3 linked regions of the Neurospora crassa OR74A genome follow. The protein of the gene in region 1 purifies or fractionates together with the protein of each later gene. This does not show direct contact. Links are inferred from orthologs where the notes say so. Each region holds a gene or a part of one and is shown on either strand. Other genes may lie near its edges.

What was found.
Region 2: the proteins of NCU04463 (region 1) and NCU09317 purify together in Saccharomyces cerevisiae (affinity purification with mass spectrometry; 3 studies listed by BioGRID). This does not show direct contact. The link is inferred for Neurospora crassa OR74A from reciprocal best matches to the Saccharomyces cerevisiae genes NUP170 and MEX67.
Region 3: the proteins of NCU04463 (region 1) and NCU02808 purify together in Saccharomyces cerevisiae (affinity purification with mass spectrometry, with the first as the bait; 3 studies listed by BioGRID). This does not show direct contact. The link is inferred for Neurospora crassa OR74A from reciprocal best matches to the Saccharomyces cerevisiae genes NUP170 and NSP1.

The regions. Positions count from the first base shown.
Region 1 is NC_026504.1:3,273,834-3,281,822, reverse strand, and holds the start of NCU04463 (non-repetitive nucleoporin), read left to right. Parts: upstream 1-3,182; 5' UTR 3,183-3,757; coding exon 3,758-4,139; intron 4,140-4,213; coding exon 4,214-7,389; intron 7,390-7,445; coding exon 7,446-7,989. Other genes in the region: NCU04460 (galactose-1-phosphate uridylyltransferase), read left to right, coding at 1-80; NCU04461 (transmembrane domain-containing protein), read right to left, coding at 298-759, 828-893; NCU04462 (3-ketoacyl-CoA reductase), read left to right, coding at 1,481-1,624, 1,696-2,550. UniProt on the Saccharomyces cerevisiae protein: Functions as a component of the nuclear pore complex (NPC).
Region 2 is NC_026501.1:4,262,624-4,270,688, forward strand, and holds NCU09317 (hypothetical protein), read left to right. Parts: upstream 1-3,450; 5' UTR 3,451-3,977; intron 3,978-4,053; 5' UTR 4,054-4,184; coding exon 4,185-4,622; intron 4,623-4,704; coding exon 4,705-6,225; 3' UTR 6,226-6,610; downstream 6,611-8,065. Other genes in the region: NCU09318 (ATP-dependent DNA helicase mph-1), read right to left, coding at 1-2,962. UniProt on the Saccharomyces cerevisiae protein: Involved in the export of mRNA from the nucleus to the cytoplasm.
Region 3 is NC_026501.1:9,050,329-9,058,093, forward strand, and holds NCU02808 (hypothetical protein), read left to right. Parts: upstream 1-3,668; 5' UTR 3,669-4,275; coding exon 4,276-6,126; intron 6,127-6,235; coding exon 6,236-6,433; 3' UTR 6,434-6,783; downstream 6,784-7,765. Other genes in the region: NCU02809 (hypothetical protein), read right to left, coding at 424-1,245, 1,304-2,112, 2,264-2,665, 2,756-2,831.

The sequences.
Region 1 (7,989 bases):
AGAGGGATATCACTCCGGAGCAAGCGGCTGCGCGACTCAGAGACTGCGGTGGTGAGCTCTATCGCAAGTCGTTGCAGTAGTGGAAATGTATGATGCGCTTGCTTCGCTTCTTGACCGAAAAGGGTATCAATAAGTGGTACATCTTCCACAAAGCCTATCGTCGGAGTCTTATTTCACCTAATACGCGATCGCGCTTCTTATGGTCATGATCCGAGTCCACTCGCCATTCCTTTTTGGGGGCCATGTACTGCTTCCTGCTTTGATTCCCAAAGACCAGCTGGTAGCTGCACCTGTCTTTTACTGGACGTAGTAACCATACTGCAACACCATCCACAACGTGCCGCCATACGCCGCCAAGAAGGGGAAGATCTGAGGTCCGCTGAAACGCAGCGTCTTGTAGATGAAGAACTCGCTCGTAAAGTGCACGGCGGCGATGACATGGGTCCAGATACCGAGCTTGTACAACGACTCGTTCTCGAGGTTGTAGCTCGCATAGAAGCGGATGATGCCGGCCATAAAGGTGTAGGTACCGAAGACGCGGGCCGCCAGCGGCGTGACTTGGTCCTTGGCAGCCGCCTCCTTCTTCTCCGCCTCTGAGGGCGAGACGGGCTTCAGCACGTCCACGCTGTCCTCCGGGCTGAATTTGCCCTTTGCGGGCGGCAGGGAAGGGTTGGGGACGAAACGGCCGTTGTAAAGGCGTCGCGTGTAGTGGAGAGTAGTGTAGTTTTGGAGGGCGTTTCCCATAGCTACGATGGAGACCTGGACGAAGGGCGTGTTAATTGCGAAACCATGTGAAGAGTCAGGGGGACCAGCAACCGTCAACTTACAAAGAAGAGGTAGTAGGGAAGGAGACCCTTCTCGCCCGAAGGCAGGAAAGCCTTGATAGCGTCCATTTGGTTCAAACAGTTATGAAGCGGTTTGTCGTCAGGGAAGAAAGCTATCGTAAGTCCAGGATATTTGTATTGAGAAGACCTTTTGTTGTTGAGGTGTTAGTTGCCCTTCCTGTTGCAGCTCTCCATTTGTTCCAGCGGCTCGAGGATCGGATGGAAACCACACTTCGGGCCACTCTCAAGCGCGAGAGACAGGGGTCATCGTAGCATCATGGACGCAGGTCCACGGGCATTGGACGACATTTTGGAGACAACAAACAAAATCCGCCAGGCTCCCCCTTCTCCTCTATCCATTGGCCCATGGCCAGCTCCGTCGGAGTTCAATGGCGGCGTCGAGTGAGTGATGGTTCGGCAAAAGCGGGGACAACCCAGCTGCCCAGGTCCTCTCGCCGGGGCCGCGGGGCGGGACGTCTCGAAAATCTTGGCGGCTGACACATGCAAGTGTACATAGTAGGCGAGTCGACCCCAGGTCCTCCAAAAAGTTCCCAACAATTATTTGCGACCGGACCCAACTTTGAAAGTGTCACAACTCCCCGATTCAAACCAAAGGCGTTCCTTCATCAACGACTTTCGCCGACAGTCCGTACGCAATGGATAAGGTTGCCGAGATCTGGGGCACTGTCCCTCAATATGGCCAATGGGCCCTTGCTGGCATCGGCGCCCTTTACGTCGCTACTCGCGTCGGCGCTTTCCTCCAGCTGCTCCTTAACGCTTTCATCCTGAGCGGCACCAACGTACGTCTCTTCGCAAACTTACTTGGGACTGAAGATTGTCAGGTGAATGTGGCTAACATCAACCTTGACAGCTCCGCAAGTATGGCAAGAAGGGCACCTGGGCTGTTATCACTGGTGCCTCCGATGGTCTCGGAAAGGAGTTCGCCCAGCAGCTCGCCTCCAAGGGCTTCAACCTCGTTCTCGTCTCTCGCACTCAGTCCAAGCTGGACGTCCTTGCTAGGGAGCTCGAGCTCAGATGGGATGGTTTCAAGGCCAAGACTTTCGCCATGGACTTCTCCAAGGACGACGATTCCGACTACGAGCGTCTCGCCGAGCTCATCAAGGGCCTCGACATTGGTATCTTGATCAACAACGTTGGCCAGTCCCACAGCATCCCCGTTCCTTTCCTCCAGACCGACCGCGACGAGCTCCAGAACATTGTCACCATCAACTGCCTCGGCACACTCAAGACCACCAAGGTTGTCGCTCCCATCCTCGCCCAGCGCAAGAAGGGTCTTATCCTTACCATGGGCTCTTTCGCCGGTGTTATGCCCACCCCCTACCTTGCCACCTACAGCGGCAGCAAGGCGTTCCTCCAGCACTGGAGCAGCGCTCTCTCTGCCGAGCTCAAGGACCAGGGCGTCGATGTCCACCTTGTTGTCAGCTACCTCGTTACCACTGCCATGAGCAAGATCCGCCGCACCAGCCTCCTCATCCCCAACCCCAAGCAGTTCGTCCGCGCTGCTCTCGGCAAGGTTGGCCTCAACAGCTCCGAGCCCTTTCCTAACACCTACACCCCCTGGTGGAGCCATGCTGTGTTCAAGTGGGTTGTTGAGAACACTGTCGGTGCCTACAGCTACTTTACCCTCAGGCTGAACAAGAACATGCACATCGACATCCGCAACCGCGCTCTCCGCAAGGCCGCTCGTGAAGCCAAGAAGCAGTAAGCGCATATCGCAGCTTCTAGCTACCATGTTTCTCACGTGAAGCTGGGAAGGAGCATGGACTTGTGGCATGATGGCTCTAGCCAAAAGACACATCCCATTGGCCTGCGTTACATCCACCCTTCGGACCCTGTATCTATTGTAGAGAAAATGAGAAACTTCGGCCCGTTGTTAGCAGACGAGTTCATAATGTGAGTGGAATGTACAGAAAGCTAAAAGATGATAATTGAACGATGATCATGAAGCAACCATATTTTTGCACAATGTATTTTTGGTACAGATCAAGAGCAGTTGCTGTCTGTCTATAGTTGATATTCTGAGTTGCAAATCCGACTTCTAGTGACGGGCATTCGATGACGTTCTCGACGATGATTGGACGGTTTCGACATTCTATAGGCGGTAGAAAAACATGCTTCCAAAAAGAGGTTAGCGCCTCTTCTGTGGTCCCCGCCGTCCAACTGCTCCGGCACACAGGCGCGTCCAAAATTCGCGTTTCAGGTCGCAGGTCCCAGTTGCCAGCCGCGAAACGACCGCCCTGGGCACCAATGATTCCTGCCCGGTCGCGGTAGAGGTACGTACCGCTGTCCCAGTTCTCCAGCCAAAAATTGTTTACGGTAGCCCGCCGCCGGAGCGGGCCAGCCTCTTCAATCTTCTGCTGTTCATCCACAGTCCACCTTCGACAGTGATTGCCCAATCGCGCGCAGAGCTTCCTTGCTCTCAACACCACAACAACAACTCAACCGCTTTCACCTCAAGCTGTGGTCGCTGCTCCTCGACCACGTCGCATCGTGTTGGACTTTATAGCTTCCCCTGGATTCCCAGACCTTCTTTGATGGTGGTGCAATTGTAGCAGTACACCCACCGACTGCAGCGAGCACCGCGCTCTCGACTTTGTGACCTCAAGCAACCAACCAACCAACCAACCAACTTGGGAGACCTGAAGCAAGAGGGCAAACGAAGCAAGAGCGACAACACAGCATCACAGCAAAGCGCGGAGAATCACGAAGCTGCCAGATCACGCTGCACCCTTGGAGCTCCAACTTGTGCCGACGCCAGATTTCCATCAGCCTCCATCCGCCTCGTTCTGGAGCTTCCCCTCCCCTCGACGCTCGCGACGAACTCTGAACCGCTTTTGCAGGTGGCACCGACAACCATCCCGCTGCCATCCCACCATCGTCCTGTCGGGTGTTAGCATCACATATCCGCCATCATGAATCCAGCCACACCTATGCGCCAAGTGCCCGGTGCATTCCTCAACACGCCCGCTGCGCCCAGGACCGATGATGCTCGACGCTACTTGGACTCGCTTCCTGAAAAGAACACTGCGAGGCCGGTGCTAGGAGGGTTCGGGTCCTATAATGCTGGTGGTGCCGGAGTTGCTTCCGGACCCGTGACTGGGCCCGTTTCGGGCTCTGTTGGCGGCGCCGGTGCTGGAACTGTTGCTGCTCCTCGTCCCGTCTCGCAGGTGCCTGTTCCAATGGTGCCAGCTCAAGCTCGCACAGATCTACCACCGGTTGCCAAGGCCGCGCGGCGCATCACCAATACCCTACTACGTGACGAGAACTACCCCGATGTTGATTCTTATGCTAGAGGTGAGCTTACCTGTTTAGGTTTCCATCCCTCATGGTACCTGGTAGGACTGGCTAACCATGTCTCTCCCAAATAGCTGGCTCCTCCTCGGACTATGACATGTACAGGACTGATGACGCGCCCGGCGCCCCGTTCAAGAAGACTCATATGTATCCCATCCCCGATCAAGTCTTTGAGCGGTTAAACAGGGGAGAGGTCAACACGCAACTCGGCCTATTTGCCGACATCAACTACGCGTGGGCTGCTATTGACAGCTCCCTCTTTCTCTGGGACTATACCCACCCAAACCCCGAACTTATCGGCTACGAGGATGCCACCACCACCATCACCGCGGTTGCCCTAGTGCCCCCCAAACCTGGCGTGTTCGTTAGTAACATCACCCATATTCTAGTCGTTGCTACGGGCACCGAGATAGTTTTGCTGGGCGTATCCGCGACACCTACCCCTTCGGGATCGAAGACCGTCGCCCTCTACCAAACAAAAATGGCAGTACATCGCGGAAGCACCGATGTCAGCTTAATCATCGGTACCTCGAACGGCCGTATCTTCTTTGGCGGTTATACCGATACCGACATCTACGAGCTCCTTTACCAGCAGGAGGAGCGCTGGTTCTCTAGCAGATGTGCCAAGGTCAACCACACACACCCTGGCTGGACATCAGTTGTTCCTAACCTCCCAGTGCCAATGGGCTTCTTGGGCCACCGTGATCAGGAACACCTTGTTCAGCTGGTTGTCGATGATACTCGGAAACTCCTATACTCGCTCTCGGACAAGTCCACCATTCGAACATACTTCATGGAGCCCTCTGGGAAACTGACAAAAGTCATCGAAAAGAACAAGGTCTCGTGCCTTAGTGACATGACGCATATGGTTGACTTGAACAGAAACCCTTTGCTTAACGAGAGAGTGAGAATCGTCTCTCTTAGCGCCATCTCGGCACAAGAAGCCTCAAAGTCTCACCTCATGGCACTCACCAACACCGGATGCCGTTTGTTCCTTACTGCGACGAGCGCGGCATCCTACATGCTGAGCGCCTCAACCAGCCTTGCTCCTCAGAGCATGCAGGTCCAATACATCAAGTTTCCTCCTACGAGCGAAGACCAGCAGGTTCCCCTCCGCAACGAGATCAACACTGCAGTTGCATATGCACCTGCACCTGCAGCAGCTCAAGATCAAATGTCTGGCTTACTTTCGGAAAGTTGCCTTGGTGAACGTTTTCCTCCGGGTTATTTCTTCGACGCGGTTCGACCCAAAGAGAGTCGCACGGATCTGCTCTTTGTATCAGCCCCCGATGTCGGCAGACTTAAGCAGAGCGCTGTACTCAGATATGTTGAGCAAGGTACTTTCATCCCCTTGGGTGACGGAAGCCGAGTTCTTTCCATCGGTCTTACTGGCAACCCTTTTGCGGCTGCAAAACAACCGCTCGGATTTGGCAACGAGCTAGCTGTTCAGTTCGATCATACCCCAAGCGAATTCGCTGTGCTCACCAACACCGGTATCCATATCGTTCGCCGCAGGAGGTTTGTTGACATCTTCGCTAATGCGATTCGTGTCGCATCTGGCGATGAGGATTTGGACAGCAAGGTGAAAACGTTTACGGCCATCTACGGCAGGGTCGAAATGGTCGCGGCTGCCTTGGCGGTAGCATGTGGTCAAGGAGGAGACGCCCGTCGTGCTGTGGATCCTCTTACTGAGGACAGGGCGCGGTCCATCTTCATCAACTACGGTGGTCAGCCCAAGCTTGCGGACGCAGATGTTTTGCAGGCACCGGAGGACAACGTACAGCTCTCGGCTCGCCACGATGCGCTGGTGCTCTATCTTGCGCGCCTCGCCCGCACCCTATGGAAGTCCAAGGTCATTGAGATAGCCACGGATAGCGCTTCGGGCGGGTTCACTGTTGGCTCGGCGATTCCCATCTCCAAGCTCATGACGGTACAGGAAAGTGTGCAACGACTAAGGAGATTCCTTGAGGAAAACAAAAGTCTCATCCAGGGCCTGGCCGGACCCTCCGATCGGGTTTCTAGCAGACAAGAGGAGATCGCTTTGCAGCTGGAGCACCAGTCTCTCCACGCTCTGCGTCAGCTTATGGACAGCGTGTCTGAGGGCATCTCTTTCGTCTTGATGCTGTTCGATGAGCGGGTAACCGACATCTTCATGCGCCTAGATGATTCGTCCAAGCAACAGCTGCAAAACCTTACCTATGAAGCTTTGTTCTCTCAGGACTCTGGAAAGGAGCTCGCCAAGGTTCTGGTGAAGGCTATTGTTAACCGCAACATTGCCAACGGAGCCAATGTCGAGACCGTTGCCGATGCACTCAGGAGAAGATGCGGCACTTTCTGCTCCCCTGATGACGTTGTCATTTTCAAGGCTCAAGAACAACTGCAGCGGGCCAGCGAGTCATCGGGCAATCCTAACCTGATGCGCACCTTGCTTGCGGAGAGCTTGCGATTGTTTTCCCAGGTCGCGGGAAGCCTGACCATGACCAACCTGCGCAACGCGGTCGAACAGTACATCAATTTGAAGTATTACGCTGGTGCTATCCAGCTGTGCTTGATAGTTGCGCGAGAGAAGGACCGTGGAAACGCGGCCCTTGCTTGGTTCAACGAAGGCAAGCCGGCTAACGATCCCCGTGAAAAGGCTTTCAAGGACCGGCAAAGTTGCTATTCCTTGATACATGAGGTCCTTGACCGGCTAGAGATTGAGTCGGCCTCAGAGCCCGATGTTGTTGACGGTAGGCCAACTCTTGCTGCCACCAAGCGGGCGGAGGCATACAGCGTCGTCAATAGCTCAGACGACGAGGTCTTCCACCTTGATTTGTACGACTGGTACATTGAGAAGGGTTGGACCGACCGCATGTTGGCCATCGACTCTCCTCATGTCGTAACGTACCTGCAGAGACTCGCTGCGGTTGATGCTCAGCACGCCGATCTTCTTTGCCGGTTCTACACACAACGCAGCCGCTTCTTCGAGGCTGCTCAAGTGCAGGCTGAGCTCGCCAAGTCAGACTTCCCCCTTGGCATCAAGGAACGCATTACCTTGTTGAGCAGAGCAAAGGCCAACGCCAGCGTCACCACTGTCGGTGTGAGTCGCCAGCAGCAGCAGCTTCTCAACCACGAAGTGACTGAGCTTCTGGAAATTGCCCACATCCAGGACGATTTGCTTGAGAGATTAAGGGCCGATCCTCGCATAGTACCTGAGAAGCTCCCTGACATCGAGAAGGTTCTGGATGGTCCTGTCCAGGGCCTTTCTACTGTGAGTCAATCCCTAAAAGTATGATGCTATTTTAGTTGCTAATCTGTACCATGTAGCTCTTCAACGATTTCGCCGATCAGGCCGGATACTACGACCTTTGCCTGCTCATCTACAACGCCGCGGACTACCAGAACCCGCACACCATCAAAGAGACGTGGGAGAATCTCATCAACCAGATCCACTTTGAGACCGAGCAGAAGCAAGAGGTGTGGCGCCTCATTGAGGCAGGCGAGGCATTGCCCGAGGGTGTCGAGGCTCTTGAAGTTCCACCCCCTATGCCTTACGAGGCTGTTGTCTCCCAGATCCAGTCCATTGCCCACCGCACCTCCCTCGACAGCCTCATCTTCCCCGTCGACACTCTTCTCCCCATGGTCTGCGCCTACGCCATCAACAACCACCAGGACGCCTCGATCGGTGCTGACCCTTGCTGGCCTGTCGCTGCCTTCCTGCAGCTGGGCGTTCCTCATGCCCTGATCGCCCGCGTGCTGGAGAACATGTTTGACGCTCAGGAGGCGCCCTTCGTTGGCAAGCACAGGAAGTTGGTAGTACAGTGGATCAACTGCGTCGTCGACTCGTGGATCCGCGAGATCGAGCACCGCG
Region 2 (8,065 bases), on another chromosome or scaffold:
CATCAGAGCCATCGGTACCCATTTCCATGTCGCTGGTGCGGGTGCAGTCGTCACCGTAGTCCACGTTGGGGTCTCCTTGTTTAGGTTGAGATTTTTTTCCCCGCCCGCTGCCACGTCCACGACCCTTGCTGCGGAAGTTTCGGGGCCTACTTTGTTCGTCATCGTCGACATTGCCATCATATTCGTTGCCACCCTCTTCACAGTCGCTGATAAGTGCGGTATGTCGTGCTCGAGGCTTGTTGGTCTGTTTGGAGACCCCGGTAGATTTGGTTTTTGCTGTCGCTTGACGTTTCTTAGGTGCGGCATATTGCTCTGCTTCCTCTGCTTCCTGCCCACTCTCGAGGCGCGGCCTCTTCTTTTGCCCCTTTCGTGACGTTTCTCCTTCTGTTTCGTCCGCAAGGGGCGGCAATGGTATCAATTCCCAGGAGGACGTGTCTGTTTCACCGTATGGCTTAGTATACCTATTCGCAGGAGCTTGAGACTTTGCCAGGCTCCTAAACAGTTTCACACATCGCTTGGTATATTCCCCGTGTTTGACATGGATGGTTTTCTGGACCACTCGTCTGGATGTTGGATGGCGATACCAGTCTATATCCAACTCTTCAACCTTCGAGTGTCCGAGGGGTATCTTTGTATAGTTTCTGCGGAGCTCGTTTTCCTGCGACGTGCTCAGCAAAATGCTTTCGAGTTTGGGCCGTTCGGCAATAAAGTCAGTTTCCTTAGGCGCAGGTGGCCTAGCGGGTGGTTTGGCTGTCTTAGCTCCAGCTTGACCAAAGAAAGAAGCCTTGATGAACCCTGTTTCAACACCGTCAGGCATGTTGAACTTCTTCTTTGCCGGCTTTGTCCTCATTCTTGCGGCAGATCTTTTTGGTTCTGGGAGCTCTGGATTTTGGGAGTTCTCAAGTGGAATCTCCACAACCTTCTTTTCCACCTCAGGTCGTATGTCTCGTGGCACAATACGTGAAGAAAGGTCGTGACGAAAGGTAAAGCGGCTGCCCTCGCATATCATTCTCTGCATGGTCGCGTAGTTGTCCTTCGCCTCGTTGAATTTGTCTTCCTCTTTCCCTTTCATCAACAAAAGTACAATGTTACCCGCTCTCTTGCGGCCGGTACGACCCATACGCTGAAGCATTCGGATCGGTGACGCTGATGCATCGTAGCAGACAATGAGATCCACTTGGCCAATATCAAGACCCTCCTCGCCAATGGATGTTGCGACCAGAACGTTGTGAGCGCCGTTCTTGAACTTCTCGATCGTCTCAATTTGTTGTTTCTGTTTCATGCCCTCACTCCTCTTCGAGTCCGCTTGTCCAACGAAGACTGTGGCCTTGATAAGGGGTTGCTTGTTGAGAATGCGCACAATCTCTTCGGCACTGTCTCGGTATTCACTGAATACAATGGCTCTGGTATTGGAGCCCTCGCCAGCATCCATGAAGTGGTTGACCAGGGTCTCACAAAGATATTCCAGCTTGGGGTGTCCGAGGAACCCATCAATCTTCATCCAACCCTCAATCATGTCCATCATCTTCTGAAAGTTCTCATCCTCCAAGACTTGCCGCTTGAGCTTTGACCCTTTTCCTCCTTTCTCCTCCTCGGTGGTGCGGAATTCGGCCAGATTATTGTAGAACGGTTTGATTCCATGGAAGTTGAGTAGTTTGATGGAATGCGCCAAACTCTGGAGAATCGCAAATGTGGCTATGACACTGAATTTGGTTCCTTGGTTTACGTGCCTACCCGGACCTGCCATCCAGTCATTCCTGGCTTTCATCAGGCCGTAGGTAGTCAGGCTCATGGGGTCCCTGCCGTAGTATATATTTTGTGAACTCAGCTTGGTCACAAGGGGCTTCAGGGCCTTGGAGAACAAGTCTCTGACTTCCATCATTTCGTCAGAGGGGTCGAATGTTATCGTGTTGATGTCTCTTGAGTGCACATATTGACGAATGTCGATTGACTCTTCGGTTCTGATCTCGACGTGAGAAATGCCCAGATTATCAATGACGTCCTGAACACCTTCGAGAGACGATCCTGGTGTAGCAGTCAGAGCAAGAATTCGAAAGCTCTTGGAGAAACGCCTTAAAAATTCGACCACCTTGACGTATGCATAGTCTCCAGTCGCACGATGCGCCTCGTCAATAACCAGCAGTACGATGGACTTGGGATCGGCATAGCCCTTGGAAAGGTCATTCATTAGTGTTTGGGGTGTCATGAAGAACAGGCGCTTTGTTGCCCATTCGTCCTCACGTAGAACAGGAGGAGTCTCTCCGGTTAGGAGAGTCGCCTGAGATCGCGGGATGCCCGCTATGCTGAGACATGCTTGAACTTGTTGTGAAGCAAGGGGTTTCGTAGGAGCAACAAAGACAGCCTTTGCGGTTTTTGTCCAGCGGATGTAGTTTAGCATGATTGTCGCAGCAATAAATGTCTTTCCCAAACCCGTGGGGAGGGCGACCAATGTGTTGTTGAAGAGGCCATTTTTGACAATGCTGAACTGGTAGTCTCGAATAGGTCCCAGATTCATCGGATAAACCCATGTTTTCATTTCTTCTATGTCAATCTCATGGTGAGTGGGCTGCTCTGGGGGCATATCGGCACGGAATGGTCGATTCGACACCGCTTGCGGGGCGGGTTGCGCATCCTCCTCCAGCGTGCCACCCCATAGTGTCGTCTGACGCAGATTCTTACGCTGGCTGGACTGAGCTAGGGACGGGCGAGACGTTGTCGCTGACGTGGTCGGCTTGCTTGCTGTTTTGGCACGCCCTGTAGCTGTAGCCTGACCCTGCGATACGGTTGGAGTAACGATTCGTCTTGCAGAATCGGATATTGGCCACGCTTGTGCTGGTGGTTTTGCCGACGAGGCAAGCTGCTTGCTGTTGCTGGGGTGATGTGATGTGATGTTGCCGGTGGCCTGGGTGAAGGCCAACATCAAATCCTCATCAGGAATATCGTCAAAGTCATCGTCATCCATGACTTGAGAGTTGTGAGGTTGTAGAAAAGAAAGAACCTTGACGATTCGAGATTCGATGCGCCGATGCTTGGGCAGTTAATACAACCGGACTTTGTTTTCTTGCCTTTTTTTTTTAAACTTCTTGTTCTGGTGATGAAACTTAAGGCTTGTCGGATGAAATTCTTGGAAGTGAAACAATTGACATTCATAACAGTCCGTTTGCATAGGTGAACCGACCCTATCGTCACACAAGCCCGGCCTGATATGAGACGCGTCGCTGTTTTAATGGACGGGCTATTCCCTTGACACGTTCCATCGCCATAGCACGTGAATTGGTGTGGGCAGTCTGGGTGCTGCCGCCTGGGGAGTTCGCAGCAGAACAGCGTCAGAGTGGGGCTGTTGCATCTTGGGTGGGGCAGGTTTGCGTCAAAATCCGATCGCTTGTCTCTGTGGTCCGCTGGAGCCTGGCGCACTGGTCGGAGCTTGGCTCATTGCCTTGAGTTCAAGTTGCATGCTCCTCCACTGCCGCCGCTAAGGTATTTCCTTTTTGGAGGTCCGGCAGGCTGAACCTTCTTTCTTCCATTCTCCAATCCGTCATCGAAACCTTCCTCATTTCTCGACCTTCTCGCGTCGTCAGTTGGCATCGGCAGCCCAACAAACTCTTCAGTACTGACCGGCTGATGACTCTTGCGCATCCTCGTACTCGCCCGTTGCTTCAGAGCTAGCAGCTTCCGTACGCATATTCAACCAACGATCACGAGCGAAGCGGCGGCCTTCTACTTCTACTTCCGTACCTTTGGATCTCCGCGTCGTCTTTGTCGCCCCACCTCCAAGCATCTTTTACATCTTTCTTTACCTCGACAAATCCCTTTAGAGAAGCGCACCTAGACTCTAAGCGAAGTGTCCTTTGACACCTATCTGGGCCACTCTCAAATACAGCGTCCCAAATCCACCCAGCGGTGATCAATCCCCGGTCGGCATCGGCCGCCTGTTTTTCTTGAGCAGGCCGCTCTCCCGCCTAACGGCGACACCAAAGGTAAGCCTCGACTCTGCATCTTAGTACCCTTCCCCAGTTCCCCCGACCACGACCGGAACTTTGACCATCGGGGCAGCGAAGAAGTCGGCGAACAAGGACAACTCGCAACTCCACGACTCACTGTCCTTTCATCAACAACTCGGCGAGAAAAAAAAATCACCCGCAACTCACACCGAACGTTTTCTCTTCAGAATTCAACGAACAACCATGGCACCTCCTACTGGTCCTCGCGCCGGAACTGGAAGGGCTCCTCCTCGTGGACCCCGAGCAACAGGCGGCGGTGGCGGAATCCAGAAGCGTCGCGCAAACCCGAGGACGGACCGAGATGGAGATGTGTCAATGGATGCTCCGGCTGGTGGCTCTGGTAGGGGTGGGTTGGCTTCCGGTGGTCGAGGACGTGGCTCCAAAGATGCTCGAGGTGGAAGAGGTGCGGTGAACTCCCGGACAGCATCCCGGGTCGTGCAGAACCTACAGAACTACGTCAGCGGAGGTCCCGTCGGCAAAACACAGTCCAATATGGCCACACTGAAGATTCACGGTATGAGCAATAGCAAAGCTACCGGCAATCGCGATGGAGGGCTTCGGTCACTTCTCACCTTTCTGGAACGAAAGGCTTCCAAAGACAAAGCAGTTACAATCGGCAAGGTATACTTTCCCATCCACCGACATCCCCAAGCGCGCAATATTCTGCAACTGCGATAACCGACACCTTCTAACCCATCGATAGAGTATAATGGACGGCGATTATGTGTGGATCACGGTCAGAAAAGATGACGCCCCGGAGATCTTGAGGCTCAATGGCTTCACCTATGCCGGTGCACCCCTGACGATTACGGAAACCACCGAGAGGATGCCTCGCCCCGAAGACAAGATTTCCAAGGCTGCTGAGGAGACCAAACAAAAATTGACAGCAGTGCTAGCTGCGCGCTACAATCCAGAGTTGAAGCTGCTTGACTTATCTTCTCTTGGAACCGATCCCATCCTCAGCAGCATGGGCACGTTTGATTCCAAGGATCGGGCCGAAAAGGCCTTCAAGGTCTTGGTAGTTATTGCTAGTCAGCAGTACAAGACCGCTGCCGAAAAGCGTGAAGGGATACAGGCCATTTCCCTTGCTAGCAACGGCCTTAACGACGTCATGCAGGTTTTCACGCTTGCTACGTCACTTCCAGATATCAAGAGACTTGACCTGAGCAGCAACAACCTCGACAGTCTGTCCAAGATCTCCAAGTGGCAGCACCGCTTTCAGTACCTCGAAGAGCTTCATCTCACAGGCAACCCCATCACCACCCAGCCCGACTTCGTGGCAGAACTCATCAAATGGTTCCCATCGCTACAGAACATCAACGGACAAATTGTTCGCAGCCCACAAGAGGTTACTGAGGCCCTCAAGGGCATGCACCCCACGCCACTACCGCAGTTCCCCTCCAACCTACGGGACGGGGAGGCCAATGTGGCGAGCATCTTTGTCCAAGTTTTCTTCCCCATGTTCGACAGCGACAGAGCTCGCCTCGCCGCTGAGTTCTACGACGACGACTCGTGGTTTTCGATTCAAGCCATTGCCAATTCTGGTCGTAATCTTCCTTGGAAAACTTACCTCAAATACTCCCGCAACGTTCACAAATTGGGAGAGAAGAATCCAGCAACGGTACAACGTCTCTTCACCGGAGGAAATCTCATTGCGGACATGTGGAAGGCTCTCCCCAGTACTCGCCATCCAAGCATGGAGAACCCTGGTGCCTGGCTCATCGACTGCCACACCTTCCCCAACCTCGCGGACCCCACCGGCCACGGCTTCGCTACGGGATTGCTCATCACCGTCAATGGCCAGTTTGAAGAGTCCGATACTACAGAAAACCTCTACGGAAAGCGCACCTTCACGCGCACGTTCATTCTTGGACCCAGCAAGCCGAGCAACCCGCCGCCGGTGCACCCATACCGGGTTATTAGCGATCAACTCACCCTTCATGACTGGACACCCGCGGAGACACCTGCTGGTCAGGCCCCTGTCGCCAACCAGGTCCCGCAGGTTCCGGTTACCAACGCTGTGCCTCCAGCAGAACCTGTCATGTTGGATGATGCCACGAAGAACCAGCTGATTCAGGAGGTGATGAAGCGGACTGGCATGACAGCAGAATACTCAGAGTTGTGTCTCAGTGGCACTGCCAACTGGAACTTTGAGCTGGCACTCAAGTCATTCGAGGAGCAGAGGGCGAACTTGCCGCCCACGGCCTTTATCAACGCTGTCTAGGGGACAGCGCAGGTCACCAGCGTCAGCATGGTTTGTTAGTTCATGGTGGATCAGCGCTAGTTGGGTAAATACCCTCTGCCTGGATGAGTTGGAGACAAAGGAAAAGGAAGACAAAAACTACTGAAAGCCAAGGAACGAAGACTGGGAAAGAGGAAAGGGTTTAAGGGTCAAGGATGAACTTTGTACAATACTTGCATTGCCATACTATCTCAAGGGAGCAACGGAATGGGTCGGTTAGCGGAATTCTTATAAGGCGGTCACTCGACTTGATATTGCGGAAACTTAGCGTGCGTTAACAATTGAGATACCTGGAGCTCTTTTGGGCTTTGACCAAAGAGTCTCCCACATTCACGGTTTTTTTTCATCTAATTATAATCTCTTTTATTAATATTTTCTCCTATTTGGGTGAGGACGCTTACGGAAGATGCTCGAGCGTAATTGGTACACAACGTTCATGCTGGTCAGGCCCAGTAGCTTAACCACCGTGAAATTGGTAACCACGGTTGTGATAAAGTACGAGATCACACAGCTAATAAGATCTCGAAGCCGCGCGCCATTCTTGGCGATTGGGGTTTGGTGGTGAGCATCTGATTGTTGGTTTCCCCATCATGCGACGTTTCTTGAATCGCTGCTCCACTGCGGCCACTGCCACCCCGGCAGTGGATCGGTACCTGCATCTGTCGATCTTTCATAGGGCGGCTTTGGGAGAAAAATGCTGAGTGGTCCTGGTACGATGAGCAGTCATCATCACCTGTTTGGCCTCGTCCAATGGGCGCCGGCAAGAGTTTTATCGGATGAGGGGTAGTATGGGCGCTTACTTGTATTGATCTTGGTTGTTACGACTTACGATGGGGAAACAATCATGTTCGACACTTGAACCTGAGTGAGAGCCAGGAATAAATTTTCCGTTGAGGATTGGCTTTTTCTACGCTTTTCGCTTTTCGGCGATCGGTTAGGTGATCGGTTATCTATCATCAGTGGGAGTGATCGACATTTCATATGCTGGCTAAAGGTATGTGATCGATTAGATGAAAGACGACCAAGCGGATGTGAATACTTATATAATCGCGGGAGTTGCGACTTGTCATCCTTCAATTGAAGCCTTGTGTTGAGTAAGTGTGAGGTAAGGTAGTTTTCTCCAGCCAGAACCCATCACTGCATTCCAATGGTCGGCGAAAGTTGAGTTTCTATTGATCCTTTCCGTACGCCAGGACGCCATTCCTCGTCTCGCATTGCATTCTCGCCCACAACATGCGGCACATATAAAAACGTGTGTGACAAGTGTGCGTGTGCGTGACTGCGAGAGACGTGACCAAGTAGATACATGTGGGGATTTTGTACCTCAGTCTTGCTTGTTGTAGTGTAGGTTTGCTGCTGGGTAGGTGGATGAGAACAATCTCAGAGACTTCCTTTATCCTAATTCAAATAGCGATAGTTAGAAAGTATACGGACAAGAGAAGGCATCGGCCAAGATGCAGTTGGGCAGCGTAGAAACAGAAGCGCCTTAGCACTTGGCCACCATTCTCAGATTCCACAAAAACAGAGAGAAAACATGGAGTTGTTTACTTATCACATTCCCCTGGCAACTCAGAAATTTGCGCGCAAGAAGCCTGTGGGAAGATGGCATATTACCGCGCTAACTGAGGAATTTGAGATGGCGCCCATCCATTCCCACTCCGTGTTGCCCCATGTGATGAATGCAAATAACTTGAATTTTGTTATCGCACTTTTCGATGGAAGATTGGCTAGAAGCACACGACTTGGCTATGATCTTACAACGTCGCACAAGTACCTCTAGTCACTATGTCTAGTCAGGTACACTACATACCAGGAAGAAGGG
Region 3 (7,765 bases), on another chromosome or scaffold:
ACTAGGCTATGGTAATGGCTCGGATAGATGGAAAGAGTCCAAGAATATACCTAACAATACTCTTCATGGGACACAGTCGAGTATGTATCCGTACGTAACTCTATTCATTTTTCTCTTTCTAGACCTGATAGTCTATCATACCTATCACAATTCCCTCCCCCTTTTGAAACTGAACCACACCCGAAAAAAACCTTCTTGTCCTTCGCTAATTACAACACCTGATATTATAACAAGTCTCAGTCTATCAAAGTAATCACCTCCTGTACATCGAATAGAAGAATAGAATATAATCATCATCCTTTTCCTTTCCCCCCTCCATTCCCTGATCCCCAACCAAACCAACCACCCACACTCTCACATATATATATACCCAATCACACCCACCTCCCCCACCCCGACTTATGTACTCACGTACTTACTTACTTACTTCCTAACCTTCCTTGCATGCTTCACCAGATTCTCAATCACCCCTTCAAACGCCTCCCGATCACCAATCTTCTCATCCGTCCTCTGCTGCCAATACACCAACACCTCGGACGCCACCCCTTGCATCGCCTCCAATTTTTGAACATGCTCTTTGAGTTCCTTGTCCGTCATCCCCGAAAGCGCCTCATCCGTCGTCTCGCACAGCTGCTTGGCAGCCACTAGGTCGAATACCGGTTCGGGCGGTGGTCCCTTCCTAGCGGAACTGGAAGAGCGGTTGGCGCTTCCTTCTGTGTTTGATCCTGCGGCGGCGGCGACGGTTTTGTTGACGGGTGGTTGCTTGGATGGGTTGCGGCTTGAATTCGAAGTCGAAGTAGTGGTAAGGTTTTGGCTGTTTTGGTTGTTGCGGAAGGCAGCGGCGGCAGAGCTAGCGCGTCGCGAACGACCTGTGCGTTCGTCGTCTGCTGCGTCGGGGTCGCCTAACGAAGGCAAGACGAGTTTCTTTTGTTTGGAAGCGGGGAGGATCTCGTCTAGGTCGACGGGGACGCCGAGGGAGACGAGGAAGAGACGACGGATGCGGGAGCGGATCCAGTCGGGGGGTTGGAGTGGGGGAGGGGCGACGAGCTGTGACCAGAGGGAGGCGGAGCGGGGGTGTTGGAAGATGGGGTCGGTGATGCCGTTGGAGACATTGAGGGTGGGGATGGGGGAGGAGGAGGAGTCGTCGCCGTCGGTGTCGGGGGAGGGAGGGAAGAGAGCGTTGAGGTAAGGGGAAGTGAGGGAGAGGATCTCGGACGCGGAAAGGTGGGTGAAGTCGGGTATTTGCTAGGGGATATGTTAGTGTGTGTTGGACGTAGAGGGAGTAACTGGGTTGGGGACTTACGAAGGATAATGAGGACTGCGGTTGTTGTGGTTGCGGCTGAGGAGCAGGTGCTGGAGCTGAGAACCCTTCGGCTTCTTGGAAGTCATCGTCGTCAAAGCCGGCATCGTCAAAGTCGCCAAAGTCAGCATCGTTGTTGGCCTCGGCTCCCTCCTCAAAGTCGTCAAAGTCATCCCCAAAGTCATCGGCGCCAGCCGGAGCTGGCTCAGCAAAGTCGTCCCCAAAGTCGTCATCACCAAACCCGTCATCGTCGGGGGCTTTATCCCCTGCTTCAGCAAATCCGTCGTCGTCGTCGTTGTCGAACCCATCTTTTTCAACAGGCTTCTCCTCTTTCTGGTCAAAGCTGACATCGTCCTTCTTGTCCTCTTCTGGCTCGACCTTCTTCTCGTTCTCTTGACTGGGTTCTGCCTCGTCGAAGTGGTCCTCTGTGTCTTCTTCCTTTGTATCTTGCGTCTCAAGCTCTTCGCTGGCATCCTCGAACTCGTCTCCTTTCAATGCTTCTTCGGTGTCGCGGTCTTTTGACTGTTCCTCCTCGTGCTTCTCGTCCTCCACCTCTCCATCTTGAGCCTGCTCAGTCTTGACCTCTACATTCTCCTCCTCCTTCTTGGATTCATCTTCATCGGCGTCTTCGTCGTCGGCGGTCTTGGCGTTGTCTCGTACGACATTGTCGTGCGCGTCATCTTTTGCCTCCTCCTTTTCTAGAAGACTGGGCCCCAATGAGGGCGAGTCAGGGGATGGCTGGTCTAGATCAGATGACGAGTCTCTAGAATGGATCGAGGCGGGACTCTTTAATGCAGGTGGTATTGGTGTATCTACGCAGGAAAACGTAAAGTCAATACAAAGGAGATCTTGTATAATTTGCTGGCTCAAAAAAAAACAAACAAACAGGCATGTGCTTGTGAAAGTGTGTGTGTGTGCGCGCGCGTGTGTGTGTGGCTAGAAAGAAGTGCTACGCATCCGTACCATTGTCACCACCCTTCTCATGCTCGACCTTTTGCCCATCCGCCTTGACAAGCACGTCGGGAGGACTGTCAACCCTGTGCCTCGCTTCGATCTCATGGTGGGTGACGGCACCAGTGCTATCTGGCGTCTCCTCCACTACGGTCATGGGAATGGGGCGCCCGCCTGGAGTGGACGGCCGGCGCTGGTCATGCTCCTCGGTCGAGAGCTTGGTGTCTGGGTCTGGGATAATGGCAAATTCATCCGGCTTCGCGTCCCCTTCCCTCATAGAATACGCCTTGGTCCCCGGGACCTCTCCATACGCCGGCTTGTCGTCTACTCTCTCGACTCTTGTTCGCGGGATGGGCGAGGAGGGAGCTTTGGGAGAAGAGATGGCATCGGAGTAGTGATCTTCGGTGTCGGAGCCTGTTGTCGCGTAGAATGAATGGTTAGTTGGATATCCATGTGCCGACTTTGTCCAGAGGTCTCCCAAGTTCCCCATCAGCTGTAACCTACCAGGTAGCTCATGAGCGCCCGGGTCCATGGTCCCCTGCCTCTCGGGAGGCGACAGACTGTTCCTGCGCGAAGCCATTGTGATCTCGAAGCGTAGTCGCGGCGGTCTATACGATCAAAGAACAAGAGGATTTCCGACTATGGTGAGTGCTGAAGGAAGCGCAGAAATGTATATGGTAGGTAGGAAGCAAGATAGGTGTATGTATATGTATATGGATATGGATATGGATATGGGAGGATCGGGATCGGGGATCGGGGGGCCAAGGTGAGGACTGAGGAGTGATGTAGTTGGTGTGGGGTGCTACAGTATGTTTACTGCTGTGAGGGACAGGACTGGAGTGTCCTATAACAAGACGGGAGTAAGCCGACTCTTATACTCTGCAGGAGATAGGTCAATTGCACGCAGCAGATGGCCTGAGGTCAAAGTGAACTGAATCAAGATTGGGTATGCACACAGACGTTGCGGCTGACTTGTGGCATCCCAATGTCCAGACGATGGACAGCAATGTGTGTGGAGAGAGACGAGAGAAAGGAACAGCTTCCGGATGGCCTAGAGTTAGTCTAGAGGATGGGCTCACGATGGCCTAATCTAGAACATGGGGTAACCACCACCCCAAGCTTTCCGAGACGACTGAACGGGGCTCCTGCTTCTTGCTCGGCTACCCTGGGACGGTGCGGTACGGTACGGTACGGTATGGTACTAAGGTACCGCCGTGTCCGGAAACTGTATGGTAACTCGCTGCGTAATGTGCTGCAACCAGACGGTCCAGTCAGAATGCAGAAGAGCATCACGGCAAGTGGAAAGTCAGCACTTCGCTTCAGTTTATGAGGCCCGCCCCGTCATTGCTCAAGTTCTCCGTCAGTTGTCGAACTGCCGTCAAGCCACATATTGATTGGCCGTGCACGCTTGGCACTTGCTAGTAAAATGTTAGACGGGGTAGGTGAGGTGAGGCTGACCACTTCACCTGGGGCTGACTCGTTGCAGTGGTGACTGGAGTGCTCCAATAAGCGGGAAATGCTTGGCCTTGTTGAGTGCGCGTCCGGGTCCCCAGAAGGGGAAAAGCCCAGGCGCGCTGCAGCACCTCCAAAAAAGTGGAAAGGCCTGTCGCGACGGACGGAACCTTGACAAACAGAGACCGAGAGACTGAGTGACGCTGCCACACTTTCTTTGCTTTCTCCAATCCACGCCCAAACGACGTCCACGTCCACTCCACCAAACGGATTCCGAACCGACGTCCAAAACTCGCGATCCGATAACCACGGCTGGACCATTGCATCACTTACTCAAAACCGAGATCGCGCCGATCTTCCTCTTCGCATTTCAACGAATCGTTGCTTGGGTTTCCGCGCGCTCCCTGTTGTTGTTGAGGTAACCGCAACAGCCTTGGGAAGTGGGACGCTGTTGTTGACTTTCTAGATTTTGGTTGACGACGACTACCCAACCACCAACGCCTCATCCATCCATCCAACCAACCAACCCCGAAACCTCGACATCATATCGTCAGCCTCACATAATCGCAATCATGTCATTCTTCGGTACACCAAGCTCCAGCGCGGCCTCGGGCCAACCAGCAACAACTGCTACATCCGGTGGTCTCTTCGGAGCCTCCTCCTTCGGCACCCCAGCAGCGAGCTCGACACAGCCAGCCGGTAGCTTGTTTGGCGCTAAGCCTACAGATGCCTCGAAACCTGGAGGACTATTCGGAGCCAATACCACCTCGACTACACCTTCGCTTTTCGGCTCTGCTTCCAACACTGCCGGAGGAGGCAGCACGACGCCTGGCGCAGGCTTGTTTGGAAACACCACTGCCAACACATCGACAACCCCCGCCGCTGGTGGCTCGAACTTGTTTGGTGGCGGGGCCAGCACCACACCCGCAACAGGAGCTCCTTCGGGAGGTCTGTTTGGAAACAATGCTTCTACTACTCCGGCTACCGGTGGTCTCTTCGGAGCTGGCGCCAACTCTCAGACGACGCCGGCTAAGACCTCGTTTGGACTAGGATCGACTACCCCAGCCGGTGCACCACCTGCTGCTGACGCTTCCAAGGCCGCGCCCTCTCTCTTTGGTGCTACCCAGCCTGCCTCTGGCAACCTCTTTGGAGGAGGAGGAGCCTCGAGTACCCCGACCACAACCCCTGCCCCCACCTCGGGAACAACACCATCTCTGTTCGGAGCGAAGCCAGCCGAGACCACCACCTCTGGCACCACTTCTGGTCTCTTTGGCGCCAAGCCAGCCGAGCCTGCGTCCAGCACAACTCCCGCGACGACAGCCACTTCCGGATCTACTCTCTTTGGCGCGAAGCCTGCGACCAGCGGTGGCAGCCTGTTTGGCGGAGCCTCGACAACCCCGGCTACGACATCGACCACGACCACCACAGCACCAGCAACTTCCGGCCTCTTTGGTGCCAACACAAGCAAGCCGGCCGAAGCCGCAAAGCCAGCTACGGGTGGTCTGTTCGGCGCCACTCCTGCTACCTCAGCTCCTGCCACCTCTACCACCACTGCTGCTTCCGGCAGTCTGTTCGGCGCCAACAAGGATGCTACCACTACCTCTACTGCCCCAGCATCAGGAGGCTTGTTTGGATCGACTACGCCTTCGACGACCACAACCACGGCGCCTGCTCCTTCGTCTTCGACCACAACTAGCGGCCTCTTCGGTGCGGCCACCACCAAGCCCGCCACTACCACAGCGGCCACCACCACTGCCGGTGGGAGCACCACCGCCACTGCTGGAACCACCAGCAGTCTCTTTGGAGGAGGAGCCAAGCCTGCGGACACCACCACCTCCAAAACCACCACCAACAACACCACTACTGCCGCCGGCACCACCAGCACCACCGGCAACCTCGCCTCCACGACCACCGGCCCCACTTCTACTCTCCCGCGGTTGAAGAACAAGACCATGGATGAAATCATCACCCGCTGGGCCACCGATCTCTCCAAGTACCAGAAGGAATTCAAGTCGCAAGCCGCCAAGGTGGCCGAATGGGACCGCCTCCTGGTCGAAAACGGCGAGAAGATCCAGAAGCTGTACACCAGCACGTACGAGGCCGAAAAGGCCAGCAACGAGATCGAGCGCCAGCTCTCGGGCGTCGAGTCGCAGCAGGACGAGCTGACCGCGTGGCTGGACCAGTACGAGGCACAGCTGGAGGAGTTGTTCAAGAAGCAGCAGCTTGGATCCGGCGGCGAGTCAAAGGCTGCTGGCGGTGTTGGCGACGGCTTGGGCCCCGATCAGGAGCGCGAGAGGACGTATAAGCTTGCCGAGAAGCTGACGGATAGGCTGGATGAGATGGGCAAGGATTTGGCCAAGATGATCAAGGAGATAAATGATATGACGGGCACGTTGAGCAAGGGGAGCAAGCCTGATGATCCGGTATGTTTTTCTCTCTCCCTTTTTTTTCTCCTCCTTTTTCTCTCCTTTTTCTCCATTTTTCCCTTATTTTATCCAATCACTAACGCACACGATAAACAAAACACAACAGCTCAGCCAAATCGTCCGTGTCCTCAACGGTCACCTTCACCAGCTTCAGTGGATCGACCAAAACGCCGCCGACCTCCAAGCCAAGGTGGCCGCTGCCCAAAAGGCTACCAGCGGCATGGGTGCCCACCAAGGCGTCAACGAGTCGGATGCCGCTCAGAGCTTTTACCGCTCGTACAGGGCCGGTGGTGTGAACAGGTGAAGGGAAAGGGAAGGGAAGGGAAGGGAAATAAATGGGCTTTGATGATGCTGTATTGTAGGAAGCTAAAGTAAAGTGAAGTATGAGTGAAAGAGAAAGAGAAAGAGGCTGAAGAATCGGATGGCGGCGAACTTGTCTGTGTGTGTGTGTGTGTGTTCAGTTTTGAGTACCCTACCTACCCTAGTTTGTTGGTTTGTTGGTTTGTTGGTTTGTTTTGTTAGTCTGTGAAAGACCATCATGGTATGATTTGAAACGTCTTGTATATGTATCGTGGCTGTGGATGGGGGGGGATCGATGATGTTAATTTACGTAGCTGAGATCTGTCTGTCTGTCTGGCTTTGGGATGGGTTAGGAGACAAGAAAAAAGGCTATGCTATGCTAGGCTGGGCTAGGCCACTTATTCTAGGTTGTGGAAGCAAAAATCAATAAACAAGATGGGTTCAAGGTAATGGCCACAGTCCAAAAAGGGGTTCATTACATCTGGAAGGGAGTTCATGTGTCTGTTTTTTTCGATATATTGTCTTCATATGATGTCGAGTGAATATCATACATATCGGACTGCCGAACTGTACATATAGGTACCGACTGCCAGGAGTTTCATTTTGAAAACCGAGACGTAGAGCATCATTGTTGTGACTCAGAACGTCGGTGGGTATCAGTGAAATTTCTTATAAGACGGACTTGAAGTTGTTAATACTTCAGTAAAGTACCGTCCCGTCTGCTTTCTTTTTCATGTTCCATGTAAGTGGCATTAAGATAATGAAGAGTCTTGAGTCTGGATCAAAGTAACTAGGTTTTGAAAAAAAAAATTAGTTACGGAACTACGTAGGCTGGCTTGCTTTCCTGATAACTTCATTACTCTTCAGCCGCATTATGAGATTCTGGTTCAAGGGCAAGCCGATGAACCCAATATCGCCCCTACTGCAGCACAGGAACTGTTCGACTCGTTTTGGACTTTCTCATAAGCTCGGTTCTGTCACGGTTTTGCTTTAGACACTTGTTCGTCCCATTGATGCAACTTGTGAGGTCCATAGGTCCCCCGGTCGTGATTTTGTGATCATCGATCATGGCTTTGCTCGCTATATTGCTACAAGGGGTAAGTTTGAGATATGTGTAAGATGACACTCATCCTCGGCGCGCCGTCCGTCCCCGTAGCCCAAGTCCCATCCTTTCTTAACCCCCCCAAATCCTTGGCCCCTTCTCATTTCATTGCATTCATACTGCGTAGGCGTAGTGGCGTGTGTAGCGATGGGACGTCGCGAGAGGGAATGATAATAAGCAGAGGAAGAAGAAAAAAAAATATGTTTATGGGTTGTTATTGTTGCTTGTTGTTCG